Macaca fascicularis: one gene and its partners. The protein of the gene in region 2 interacts with the protein of the main gene of each other region in a pairwise test. Links are inferred from orthologs where the notes say so. Each region holds a gene or a part of one and is shown on either strand. Other genes may lie near its edges. The genes, in order: PPP1R3C, PPP1CB and PPP1R16A.

Region 1 (3,746 bases), on a different chromosome or scaffold from region 2:
CAGGCGTGCACCAACGCCCCCAGCTAATTTTTGTATTTTTAGTAGAGACAAGGTTTCACCACGTTGGCCAGGCTGGTCTTGAACTCCTGGCCTCAAGTGATCCACTGGGCAGGTTTCCCGACCACTCAGTGTCTCCGTTTTCTTTTCTCTAAAATGGGATTAATAACTGGACATATCACATAGGGCTCTTGTGAGGATTGAACTGATAGCACACAGTGTTTGGCAGAGTAAAGGCTCAACAAGCAGCAGTTATTCTCAATATTTTAGCTCAGGCACCAGGTGCCTTGAGGTGATAGAGTAAAAACTCTAGCTGAGAGATCAAGTAGAAACTTAGGAAGTAGCCCGGGTTGAACACAGGAGCTGGGCATCGTGCTGAGTCTGTTCATTGGCACCATCTTACTTCATCCTCAGAACGTTACTATCTCCGTTTTACATATGAGGAAACTGAGGTTAGAACTTGCCTAGATTCGTGTAGCTAGTAAGTGTCAATTCAAAGACCTTCCAGCTAGTTTTGGTTGAGCCAAAGGGGCTAGAAGACCTGCCATTAGTTAGATTTTCATTTCAAAAATAAAACCTCAGCATGAAGTGCCTTTCCCAGTGATACTCAGCGTGATTTTTTTTCTTCTTTCACACATACGGCTGTATGTGTGAAAAGGGTCATTTCTCTTCCGGCTTTAGTGTTCCCCGCAGGGGAGAAAATTGAAGAATAGACAGAAATACAAAGTATCTTTTAATTAAATGCCACCTCGCTGTTTTATGGGGCTCGTATGCTTTCCTAACATTTGTTAGATAAGTTGGTAATTCCCGGCAGCTGTCTACTGTGTGGTGCATCTGTGAACCCATAACTAACAGAAAAGCATGAAGCCAGTTTGGGATCGCGCAGGCTAAGATGAGGGAGAAATGCGGATACACCGGGCAATGAACAACATAAACATTTCAAATGCGATACACATTCGGATTGAGCCACATCTGTGTGGAGATTCAACTGCACTGACCCACAAAGCTATTCCCAAGTAACAGCCGCCCCAAGCCTGAGGCACTGGCGCCCCGCCTGGGCGAGGCTGGCTGCGCTCTCTCTTGGCCGGCGCCCGTTGCATGCGGTACGTGCCTGCCCGGCCCCTCGCCCAGGGTTCCCGTTACGCGGCTGCGTCCAGCTGGCCGCGGAGTCCCAGAACCTCCCCGGGATGCCCAGCTCGCGCTCTGCACGTCCGGCCCCGGGGCGATCATATTCCCGGGGCGAGGGCTCTCGCCCCATCTGGGTGCTGGTTGGTCGCGCCATGGGGCCCGAGGCCCGGCGATTGGTCCCAGGAATCGGGTCACGTGCTTCGGAGCAGATAAGCGGCCTCTAGGCGCCAGGCCCTCAATCTCTCCCAGCGACCGCCGCGGGGGAAGGCAGGGAGCTGTGGTTCGAATTTGTGCAGGCAGTGGGTGCTGGCTTTCACGGTCCGCCGCCTGTCTGCCTAATGAGCTGCACCAGGTAGGTTCGCTGCACCTCTGCGCGGTAGGAACACAGGGGAACGCACAGCTGTGGGGAAGTTGGGGGGGCGTTTCAGTTCTGTCATGAGGATAAGGGAACTGACTGCTTAGTTGAATCTGGCAACCGAGAGGGCTTGGAGGTGTAGAAATTTGACTCTATTTCTTAAGCAGAGCCTATTTTAGCAATCAGCATCTTAAAGCAGAAGTTATCTTAACGTGAATCAGCTTGAGTTCTGATTTTCTCATGGATGCGGCTGTTCTTTTGGTCCTGCACAAATGTCGCAAGGACTCAGGCAGCTGAAGTGGTGAGAACAGCACTCTGACATTGCTGGTTAGGTGGTTTAGCTTGGAGGAAAAAAATTACAGGACGACGTTTGCATTCATTCGTCCTTCTTATCACAGTTTGCCATAGCACAATCTCAAGAGTTTGAGCAAACAATTACTTTTAACTCTTGTCCAGGACTTAAAGTTCCAAGGAAATCACCCAAAGTAAAACTGTCTTTCTATAAATGCAAAAAGTAAAAATAAAATAAAATAAAAAAACTGCCATAAAACTACTTTAAATAGCTTCTCCAGACATAGCTTAGCAGAAGACTTCTCTAAAAATCCTGCCTATTAACTATTATTAGACCCACAAATATAGCTTTAGCTTTCATTTGTTTGTTCTAAGTTTGCAGGTCTCCCAGAAAAACCCCAGAGCTAATACAGTAAATTCTGCGAGTGTTATTACCCATTTTTGTGATAATGACCACTTGGATACATATTTAGAGCTGCTGTGAGGAGAGTTACTAAAGCCAGACTGAGAAATGTCGTGTACAGTATACACACACCTCTTACTTGTAAGGCTAAGATAGGGAAAAAAATCCTAATACCATAAGCTTGGAAATATATAATGAGGGCTAAAGGCCAGAGAAAAGTCTTCTTTATGGATGCTTCTTGGTTTAATATTGCTGAGCATAGTCATGTTTAAAACTTTAAATAGCTTTATTGTCTTTCTACTTATAAATGTCTATTAGAAAATGCCAAAAAAGGAACAAAAATGAAAATAGATAATCTATAGTCCTATCACCCAGAGATAATAATTATTACATTATTAGGAAAGGTGTATTTCTTACAGAGTTTTTCAATATTTATAAGCTTGCATACATATAATGTATATTTTAAAACACGCCAACTTTCAGGTAATCAGGTTTTCCACTTAAATGTGGACTTGTCATGGGCATCTCTTTAGATGAATTATCAGTTACACAGTTTGTAAGTACATATGAATTATTGACTTGTATTTCAGTGGTTATTTGTGAAAAATGAGGAAAAGCATGACAATCAAAGTACAAAGAGAATTCTTTGACTTCTTCTCTAGCCTTCTCACTCTCAAAACTGTTGCATGTTATTTTTGTTTTTTTTTGTTTTTCAAGTGAATTACCTTACCAGAGAAGTGTCAATCAATTTAGCAGCAAAATAAGCCAAAGTAGCCAGAGGGAGCAGAGGGTCTGGAACTGTGGCTTCTGAACCTCTCTGGTCATTAGAATCACCTGGGAAGCTTTAAGAGCATATCCATCCCTTGGCCCTAGCCCCAGAAGTTCTGCCTCAGTGGTTCTGAGTCCCAGGAATTGGAAAGAAAGAAAAAAGAAGAAAGAGAGAGAGAGAACGAGAGGAAGAGAAAAGAAAGGAAGGAAGGAAAGGAAGAAAGGAAGGAAAGGAAGCAGGGAAGGAGGGAAGAAAAGAAAGAAAGAAAATGAATTCCCCAGGCATAGTGACCAGACAGGTTTGAGGACCACTGGTCCAGAACAGAGCACACAGTTCTCAAGGCTGCCTGGGAGATAATCAAATCGAACCCTTTTATTTCTCAGATGGGGAGACTGAGACCCCCATCACCCTCTAAGTGTTTTAAGCAGTTAACACTTAGCCTTTAGCCAGCCAAGGGTAGAGGTAGACATAGAAAGAAGATCTGATCAGTTAATACTGTTCTCTTTTACTATATATGATAGCACCTGCCTGATATCTACTGCACTGGCTAAAATTCAGTCAGCACAAAAATAGTACATATGTATTTGGCACTGGGAAAGAGCACTTCCGATCCAGGTGATAATCCCTCTTCCCTTTGCATTCCAGAATGATCCAGGTTTTAGATCCACGTCCTTTGACAAGTTCGGTCATGCCCGTGGATGTGGCCATGAGGCTTTGCTTGGCTCATTCACCACCTGTGAAGAGTTTCCTGGGCCCTTACGATGACTTTCAACGAAGACATTTTGTGAATAAATTAAAGCCTC
Region 2 (3,746 bases):
ATGTTAACGCTTGCTAAATTGAGAGAAATGTGTCTGGACTACAATTCTTACCCCCGCCCCCCAAAAAGGAAAAAAGATTGTACAAAACCAAATACTTAATTTGAATTCACAAAAACAAATTGAATCACTTAGACTATTTTTCCCCCAATGTCTTTTCCAGTAACCTTGCACAACCCACTCGTGAAGTTTAAGTACCTGTAATCATAAAAAGGTGCATCTAATTTAAAAGGATACAAACATTTTAAAACATAAATCTGTTTTATGCCTATAAAATAGATGGAAAATGAAATAAAATATAAAGTTGAGATACAAACATATTTTTAAAATATTTAAATTTACAAGCAAAGTTTAAAATATATAAAATTGGGTCCGGCGCGATGGCTCACGCCGGTAATCCCAGCACTTTGGGAGGCTGAGGCGGGTGGATCACGAGGTCAAGAGTTCAAGACCAGCCTGGCCAAGATGGTGAAACCTCCGTCTCTACAAAAATACAAAAAAAAAATTAGCCGGGCATGATGGCGGAGTGCCTGTAATCCCAGCTACTCGGGAGGCTGAGGCGGAAGAATCGCTCAAACCCGGGAGGCGGAGGTTGCAGTGAGCCGAGACCGTGCCATTGCACTCCAGCCTGGGAGACACAGTGAGACTCCGTGGGGGGAGGGGGGGGGAGAGTAGGCCTCTACTTTCCCAAATGTAAACAAGACATATACATTTTTAAATTAACTGTATTTCTCTCATAGAACAGTTACAAAATACAATTTTTCTTCAAAGCAAATTTCTCAAATACCCAGCAAGACGTTCACATCTGAAACAAAGTCTTAGGTAGTGAACACTGACTGCAGGCACCAGGGGGCCTCCCAGGAATAACTTGATAGTAAAGGAAAAGGTAAATAAGAGTTCCTGGTAAAACTTTTGCTTCCTATTCAGTCTTAAGACTGCTGGATGGCTTTCACTTCTGGAGCAAATATACAGTATTTAGTTACAGAACGGCTACACACAGAACTTGGGTTTTAGATACCGACACATTCGTTGAAAAAAACGAGTTACCCCTCCCCCATTAAAATATTCTTTGATGATTTTCCAAATATAAGTACATGTTGCTTTACTGTAGCAAACAATTATCTTAAGGTAATTTGAAAGCAAACAGTACATATGCAATCCTTCGATGGCGGCTAACAAAGAGGCCTCTAAATTGTTTAAAAGGGATTAATGGCTTTTCTACACACTCACAAAACAATTAGTGATGACGAACATTTTAGGGTAGAAGGACTGTTTGGCATTTAACTTTGAATAATATCCTGCAATGAATCAATACATTTAACTCCTGGCTTTCCCCCCCCTTGCCTTCCCACCAACATAAAACTATTCGATAAGAACACCAGGGCCCGGAAAGTTCAAATGCTGCGTAGACTTGCAAATACCTTTCGAACACAAGACAGGCTTTAAAAATAGATCTTCACTAAGTTGTGCAGAAATTAAGCTCTGCTCAAATCAAACGCAAAAGCCAACATCTACATACATCACATTTCTTACGTGCATCTTCAACCTGATCAAATATTTTGTCTTACAATTTTTTTAGGCCGAATAACAAATGGTAGATAAATTCCCGCTAATTTTATCCTCTCTAAGAAGAATCCATTCTATGGCATCGTGTAAAAATGCAGAGCAGACGAAGCATTCCTGTTACGGACAGGTTTTTATATATATACATAAAATTCACTCGCGGAACGACAATCGGAGGCAGCCAAGGGCAATGCACAAAGAGAGAAGAAACACTGATTCCACGGACACACAAAGCCCGGTGGCAGGCATCCTCTCCCCCTCCTCGGAGGAGTCACCGGAGGCGAGCACGACGGCGCGCGGAGCCCGGCGGCCTTTCCGAAAGGCTGTCTCCCGCAGACCCGCTCCGCACAGCTGCCGGCCGGCGGGCCTGGCCACCAAGGGTCCGCGGGGACGGCCCCCTCTCCCCCGATTTCCCCTGACCGCGCTCCCGGAGGCCGCTCCCCGGCGCCCAGCAGCCTCCTCGCCCCCTCCTCGGCTGGTCTGCCGCGCCGCGCTCCCAGAGACAGCCTCGGGGCGGGAAAGAGGTCCCCTCGCGTTTCGGCGGCGGAGGTGGACGCAGGGGTCGGCGGCGGCGCCCGACCTCCCTCCGTCCCACGGCCCGGCGCGCACTCACCCTCCAGCAGCCGGGTGATGAGGCTGTCCACGTTCAGCTCCCCGTCCGCCATCTTGTCGGCACAGACTCTCCTTCCCAGCAGCGGGAACAAGGGCTTCTCGGCGGCGGAGGCTGCGGCGACGGCTCGGCGTTCTCTCACCTACAAGTCACGCGGCGTTTCGACCCCGGCTCCAACTCCCCCTTTTCCCGGGCCCTCCCCCCACCCCCTCCCCGCTGGGTAGCGAGAGCGCGCGCACACTCGGAGGCACCCACGGAAAATAAATAAATAAACAAGAGGGGCCCCCACAAACAGGGCCGCGTCAGACCAAGGCCGCCACCTCCTCGTCCTCGGCACCGCCCAGCTCCGCAAAGCTCACCAGCGCCGCCGACGGCCCCACCCGCAGCGCCACTCACTCCGCACGTCCCTTGCGCGCCACCGCGTCACGCAGCTCTCCGCGCAGGCGCCCGGCGCGCTCCCCGCCGAGGTTCCCCTCGACGCCTGGGCCTCCGCGCAGCCGCACTGGAGCGGCTTCTGCCGCCGCCGTCTTCGCGCAGGTGCGTCGCCCTCTCTCTCTACGTCCACGGCGCCGAGTTTCGCCGCCGCGGCGCAGGCGCCAAGGAGGTGCCCGGCTTTGCCGCTCGGAGGAAGCCCCGGTTACGCAGAGCGGGCTGGGGCAGGGCTCACCTTCCTCCTCCTCTGCTTCACTGGCGCTTTCCAGACGTGGTGGTTGCACCCTTTTGGCCTCGCTTTCCTTTTCATGGCTTCATACCTTAGATCTGCAAGCAGTTCCTCGTGTTTCTTCCTAGCCGGGAAACGCGAACTGCAGCGTTTGGAACCCGGGTTTGCGCTTGTGAAAAGCAAGAAGGGGTTAACTCTGCTGGAGTTCGACATTGCAAATAAAGGTCTTTACCCCCAGTGGTTCTACAAAATTAGTTCCGCAGGGATTCTGTTTGAAAGAAGAGTTAAAGTGGGCCCTGTAGGAGTCAGCAATAATACAATTTTACATGGGTGCATATGGCTGCCTGTGTTTAGCGCTTTCACACATCTTGTATCTCCATCCACGCCGTGGGTATCTTTTTTTCCACAGTGTGTTTCTGTTGCTGCTTCCAGTATATTGCTTAATCATCCTACCTGGTAATTATTTATGCATTTTTCTCCCACTCTCGACTCAGCTCCTAGGGGATAAAAACACACTAACTTATCTTTGTGCCCACAGCACCCACCAAATATTTCCATCACGTAATACTGCTTCTAGAAAGGCAGGAGGAGAGGCAGTCACGCTAAGGATCTAGGCAAGCCAGATCTTTTGTCCTGTTTTAGGAGGTGGCCAACCCTTACTTATTCCACAGGTGTTTTTCCAGAAACTCAGATCTGATATTGCCCCAAGTCCAAGGCAGTACTTCCCCCACTCACATATCACTAATAGTAGCTAACATTTGTTCATATCCCTGTTATGTGCTGTGCCACTGTTTTAAATGTTACACCCGCGTTACCTCATTTAATCCTTATAACAGCCCTGTGAGGTAGGTACTATTATTATCTCTGCTTTGTAGATGGGATTTACCGAGGCACAGATGGTTAAAAAACCTAGCC
Region 3 (3,647 bases), on a different chromosome or scaffold from region 2:
GCGAGACTCTGTCAAAAAAAAAAAAAACATCAAACCAAACCCATCACACAAAACCCATTAAAATAGGTGCATCTTACTGTAAGTCACACCTCAATAAAGTTTGATGTAAAAAATCAATGCATGGGCTGGGCGTGGTGGCTCACGCCTGTAATCCCCACACTTCGGGAGGCCGAGGCAGGAGGATAATGAGGTCAGGAGTTCAAGACCATTCTGGCCAACGTGGTGAAACTCCATCTCTACTAAAAGTACAAAAATTAGCTGGCCATGGTGGCATGCACCTGAGGTCCCAGCTACTTGGGAGGCTGAGGCAGGAGAATCGCTTGAATCCGGGAGACGGAGGTTGCAGTGAGCTGAGATCACACCACTGCACTGCAGCCTGGCGACAGAGCAAGACTGTCTCAAAAAAAAAAGATACAAAAATTAGCTGGCATGGTGGCATGTGCCTGCAATCCCAGCTACTGGGGAGGTTGAGGCAGGAGAATCATTTGAACCCGGGAGGCAGAGGTTGCAGTGAGCGGAGATCATGCCACCGTACTCCAGTCTGGACGACAGAGTAAGACTCCATCTCAAACAAACAAAAAACCAGAAAGCCACATGGTCAGCAAAGCCTAAAATGTTTACTACCTAGCCCTTCATGGTAAAAGCTGGCCAACTCCTGGTCTAGCACATTTATTTGGTGTTACCAGCTTCATCATCACCCCCACCTTCATCAGCTGCTCCTTCTGTCTGGAAAGTTCTTCCACCAGATCTTAGGACAGCATGCTCCTTCTTGGGACTCGGATCACATCTTAAGTGCGACCTCCTCAGAGATCTTCTGTGGTTACCTTGTCATTCTCTTATCTCATCACCCTGTTTTAATCCTTGACATGCCACTTACTGTTTGTTTCCCTGCTGCATCCTCAGGACTTGGCCGGTTCCTGACTCATAGGAAGCACTCAGTAAGTGCGGTGGGCTGACCAGGTGAACAGCTACTGAGCCTGCGGCACAGGGCTCCCAGCAAAGGATGTGACATGCGAGGCTCCGAGCTCCTGGCTGAGCAAGTCTGATGAAAAGGCCTCACTTAGGTGTGCGTGCACCAGTGCCGGGAGAGCCTCGGCATGAAAGAAGGGCCTGGAACTGCCACCTAGTTCTCATTTGGCCAGTGGGTAGATGTGGCACAAGTGCTAGGGTAGGACACGCTCGAGGCAGAGCAGGGTGGAGCTGGTGGTGCTGGTACGGTCTGTGGGGTCACCTGAGACTGAGGTTCCTAAGCCGCAGGCAGCGGAGAGCTGTATCAATCAGCTGTTCATTCAGACCAGAGGTTCAAGAATCCCTACACAGACCCCAAAGTGGAGTCATACAGGAGGAGCCCCCTTGCTAGGCGCCACCCCAGGCAATCCTCCAGGCAAAGCGGAGTCCAGGTGCATCCCAAGCAGGTGAGGGATGAGGCCAGGACAGGCCAATCAAGAGACAGGAGGGATGGCTCCAGCCAACAGGGAGGAAATGCAGCTCGAGCACCGGGAGGGGGAAGGACGCCCTAAAGCCTCCCCCATCCCAACCCGAGCCTGGAGGACTTGGGGCAGGGACAGGCAGCTGGCCCTGCAGAGCTCTGAGCGTCCACCACAGTGACAAGCATGGAGCCAGTATGTGTGTAAGTCCACGAGGCAGCCTCCAGCCCCTCAGGCAACCCAGCTGCACGCCGCCGGAGCTCCTCTCGGCGAGTCGTGGCTCTGGGTCCCTGAATCAGGCAGCGCAGCCAGAGGCCTCTTCAGGAGGCCCCAGGGTACTGCAGCCAAGACTCTTCTCCCAGAGAAATCCCAACCCTTCCAGGAAGCAACAGGGGCACCAAGACGCCCAGGAGGGCTCACTGCTGTATTAGACACGCTTTGAAGAAGGCAGCGGTACCCCGGCCTCCACCTCCACCCCCAAGTAGGAATCCAGGAAGAAAAGGAAGGCACAGAGGTTTGGGGAGGGCTAACTTTGCTCTGGCTCTCATAAGCCTAGAATGACTCCGTACACCCCTCCCGTCTCTGCACCCATGGAAATGAATCCCACCGTGCCCGGGGCCTCTGCTCTGGTACAGACAGGCGCCCACACCAGTCCCGGACACTCCCTCCCGGGCGGGGTGCTTGCTTAGTAATTGTTGCCCTGACCCCAATTCCTGAGGGGTGGTCCAGGCGCCCCGCGCTACAAGTGAGGTCATGTGAATCCCTGAAAGTTGAAGGAACTTGCCCCAGAGAGAGACTTCCCTTTCTCCTTCAGCCTAGCTCCAAAGCCCACACAAAGCTTGGGTAAGTCCCTTCTCTGCGGCCTTAATTTCCTCATCTGAAAATGAGGATAATTCCGGAGCTGTCTACCTGACCGACGGGCTGCGGAGAATCCACACACCTTCGCCTTGGAACAAAATGCGAAGCGCCCACCGGCAGCCTTCGGCTCCCTGCCTTTCCTGACCCTTGGCACCTGCTGCCCTGGGCCTCAGCCAGCAACGCCCAAGGCGGCCCGGCGGGACCTGTGCCCTGGGCGCCCGCGTGCCGGCAGCCGCGTCTCCCGAGGGCCCCTCCCCGGCCTCCTCCCTCGCCAGCCTTCTCCCTCGCCAGCCTCCTCTCCCCCCTCGGTCTCTTCCTCCTCCCGCCCCCCCCCGGCCTCCTCCCTCCCCTCAGCCTCATCTTTCTACGGCCCGGCCTCCTCTCCCGGTGTCGACCCAGTGCCCCTCCTTCCCGGGCCCGCCACGGCTGTCCCTGGCCGGGGCCCCTCTCCTTCGCTCCGCTCCTGCTGCAGCACCCGGGAGTCCGCGCCTCACCTCATGTCCCGCGCCGGCCGCCGCGTAAGTGGGTCCGCTGGCTTCCGCGGGTCGGTGGGCCCCGCGCTCCCCGAGGCGCTGCGGGGGCGGGCCCCGCGCCCGGCTCTCGCCATGGCAACGCTACACTTCCGGCCCGCGCTACCCACAGCCGGAAGCCGCGGTGCCCCGTGGGAGCCGGGGGCGGAGCCTGGGGCGGGACGGTCGGGGGCGGAGCCTGGGGAGGGACGGTCGGGGGCGGGGCCTGGGAGGGACGGTCGGGGGGCGGGTGCCAACTGGGACAGCTGCGGGCGGCCGGGCGAGTCCTCCGCGGCTGGGACCTCCTCGGGGCCCGGGTGGGACGCGAAGGGCTCAAAGTACTCCAGGGCTCCCGGGACGGTGGTCATTGATTTATGCTGGACAAAACCGAGTCATCGTAGACAATGGGACGGGCGCCAGCGGAATGAGTGGCAGCTTTGGGGGTGGTGTCGGGCCCGGGACGTCGGAGATGAGCGGTCAGAACTTGGGGAGCCTCCAGCGCCCCACCAAGGAGGTGCCAGTGGAAAGGGGGGTGCCTTAAAACTTATGGGAGGCCGGGCGCGGTGGCTCACGCCTGTAATCCCAGTCCTTTGGGAGGCCCAGGCGGGCGGATCACGAGGTCGGAAATTGAGACCATCCTGGCTAACACGGTGAAACCCCGTCTCTACCAAAACTACAAAAAAAAAATTAGCCGGGCGTGGTGGTGGGCGCCTGTAGTCCCAGCTACTCGGGAGGCTGAGGTAGGAGAATGGCGTGAACCCGGGAGGCGGAGCTTGCAGTGAGCCAAGATTGTGCCACAGCACTCCAGCCTGGGCGACAGAGCGAAACTCCGTCTCAAAAAACAAACAAACAA

The links.
Region 1: the proteins of PPP1CB (region 2) and PPP1R3C interact in binary tests that used the Homo sapiens proteins (3 or more experiments, as listed by UniProt). The two-hybrid records come from large-scale screens. The link is inferred for Macaca fascicularis from reciprocal best matches to the Homo sapiens genes PPP1CB and PPP1R3C.
Region 3: the proteins of PPP1CB (region 2) and PPP1R16A interact in binary tests that used the Homo sapiens proteins (3 or more experiments, as listed by UniProt). The two-hybrid records come from large-scale screens. The link is inferred for Macaca fascicularis from reciprocal best matches to the Homo sapiens genes PPP1CB and PPP1R16A.

Annotation. Positions count from the first base shown.
Region 1 is NC_088383.1:100,436,032-100,439,777, reverse strand, and holds the start of PPP1R3C (protein phosphatase 1 regulatory subunit 3C), read left to right. Parts: upstream 1-1,362; 5' UTR 1,363-1,463; coding exon 1,464-1,477; intron 1,478-3,588; coding exon 3,589-3,746.
Region 2 is NC_088387.1:93,467,968-93,471,713, forward strand, and holds the start of PPP1CB (serine/threonine-protein phosphatase PP1-beta catalytic subunit), read right to left. Parts: upstream 2,608-3,746; 5' UTR 2,567-2,607; exon of another isoform or gene 2,530-2,566; intron 2,521-2,529; exon of another isoform or gene 2,313-2,520; 5' UTR 2,226-2,312; coding exon 2,174-2,225; intron 1-2,173. UniProt on the Homo sapiens protein: Protein phosphatase that associates with over 200 regulatory proteins to form highly specific holoenzymes which dephosphorylate hundreds of biological targets.
Region 3 is NC_088382.1:154,187,422-154,191,068, reverse strand, and holds the start of PPP1R16A (protein phosphatase 1 regulatory subunit 16A), read right to left. Parts: upstream 2,888-3,647; 5' UTR 2,780-2,887; intron 1,043-2,779; 5' UTR 878-1,042; intron 1-877. UniProt on the Homo sapiens protein: Inhibits protein phosphatase 1 activity toward phosphorylase, myosin light chain and myosin substrates.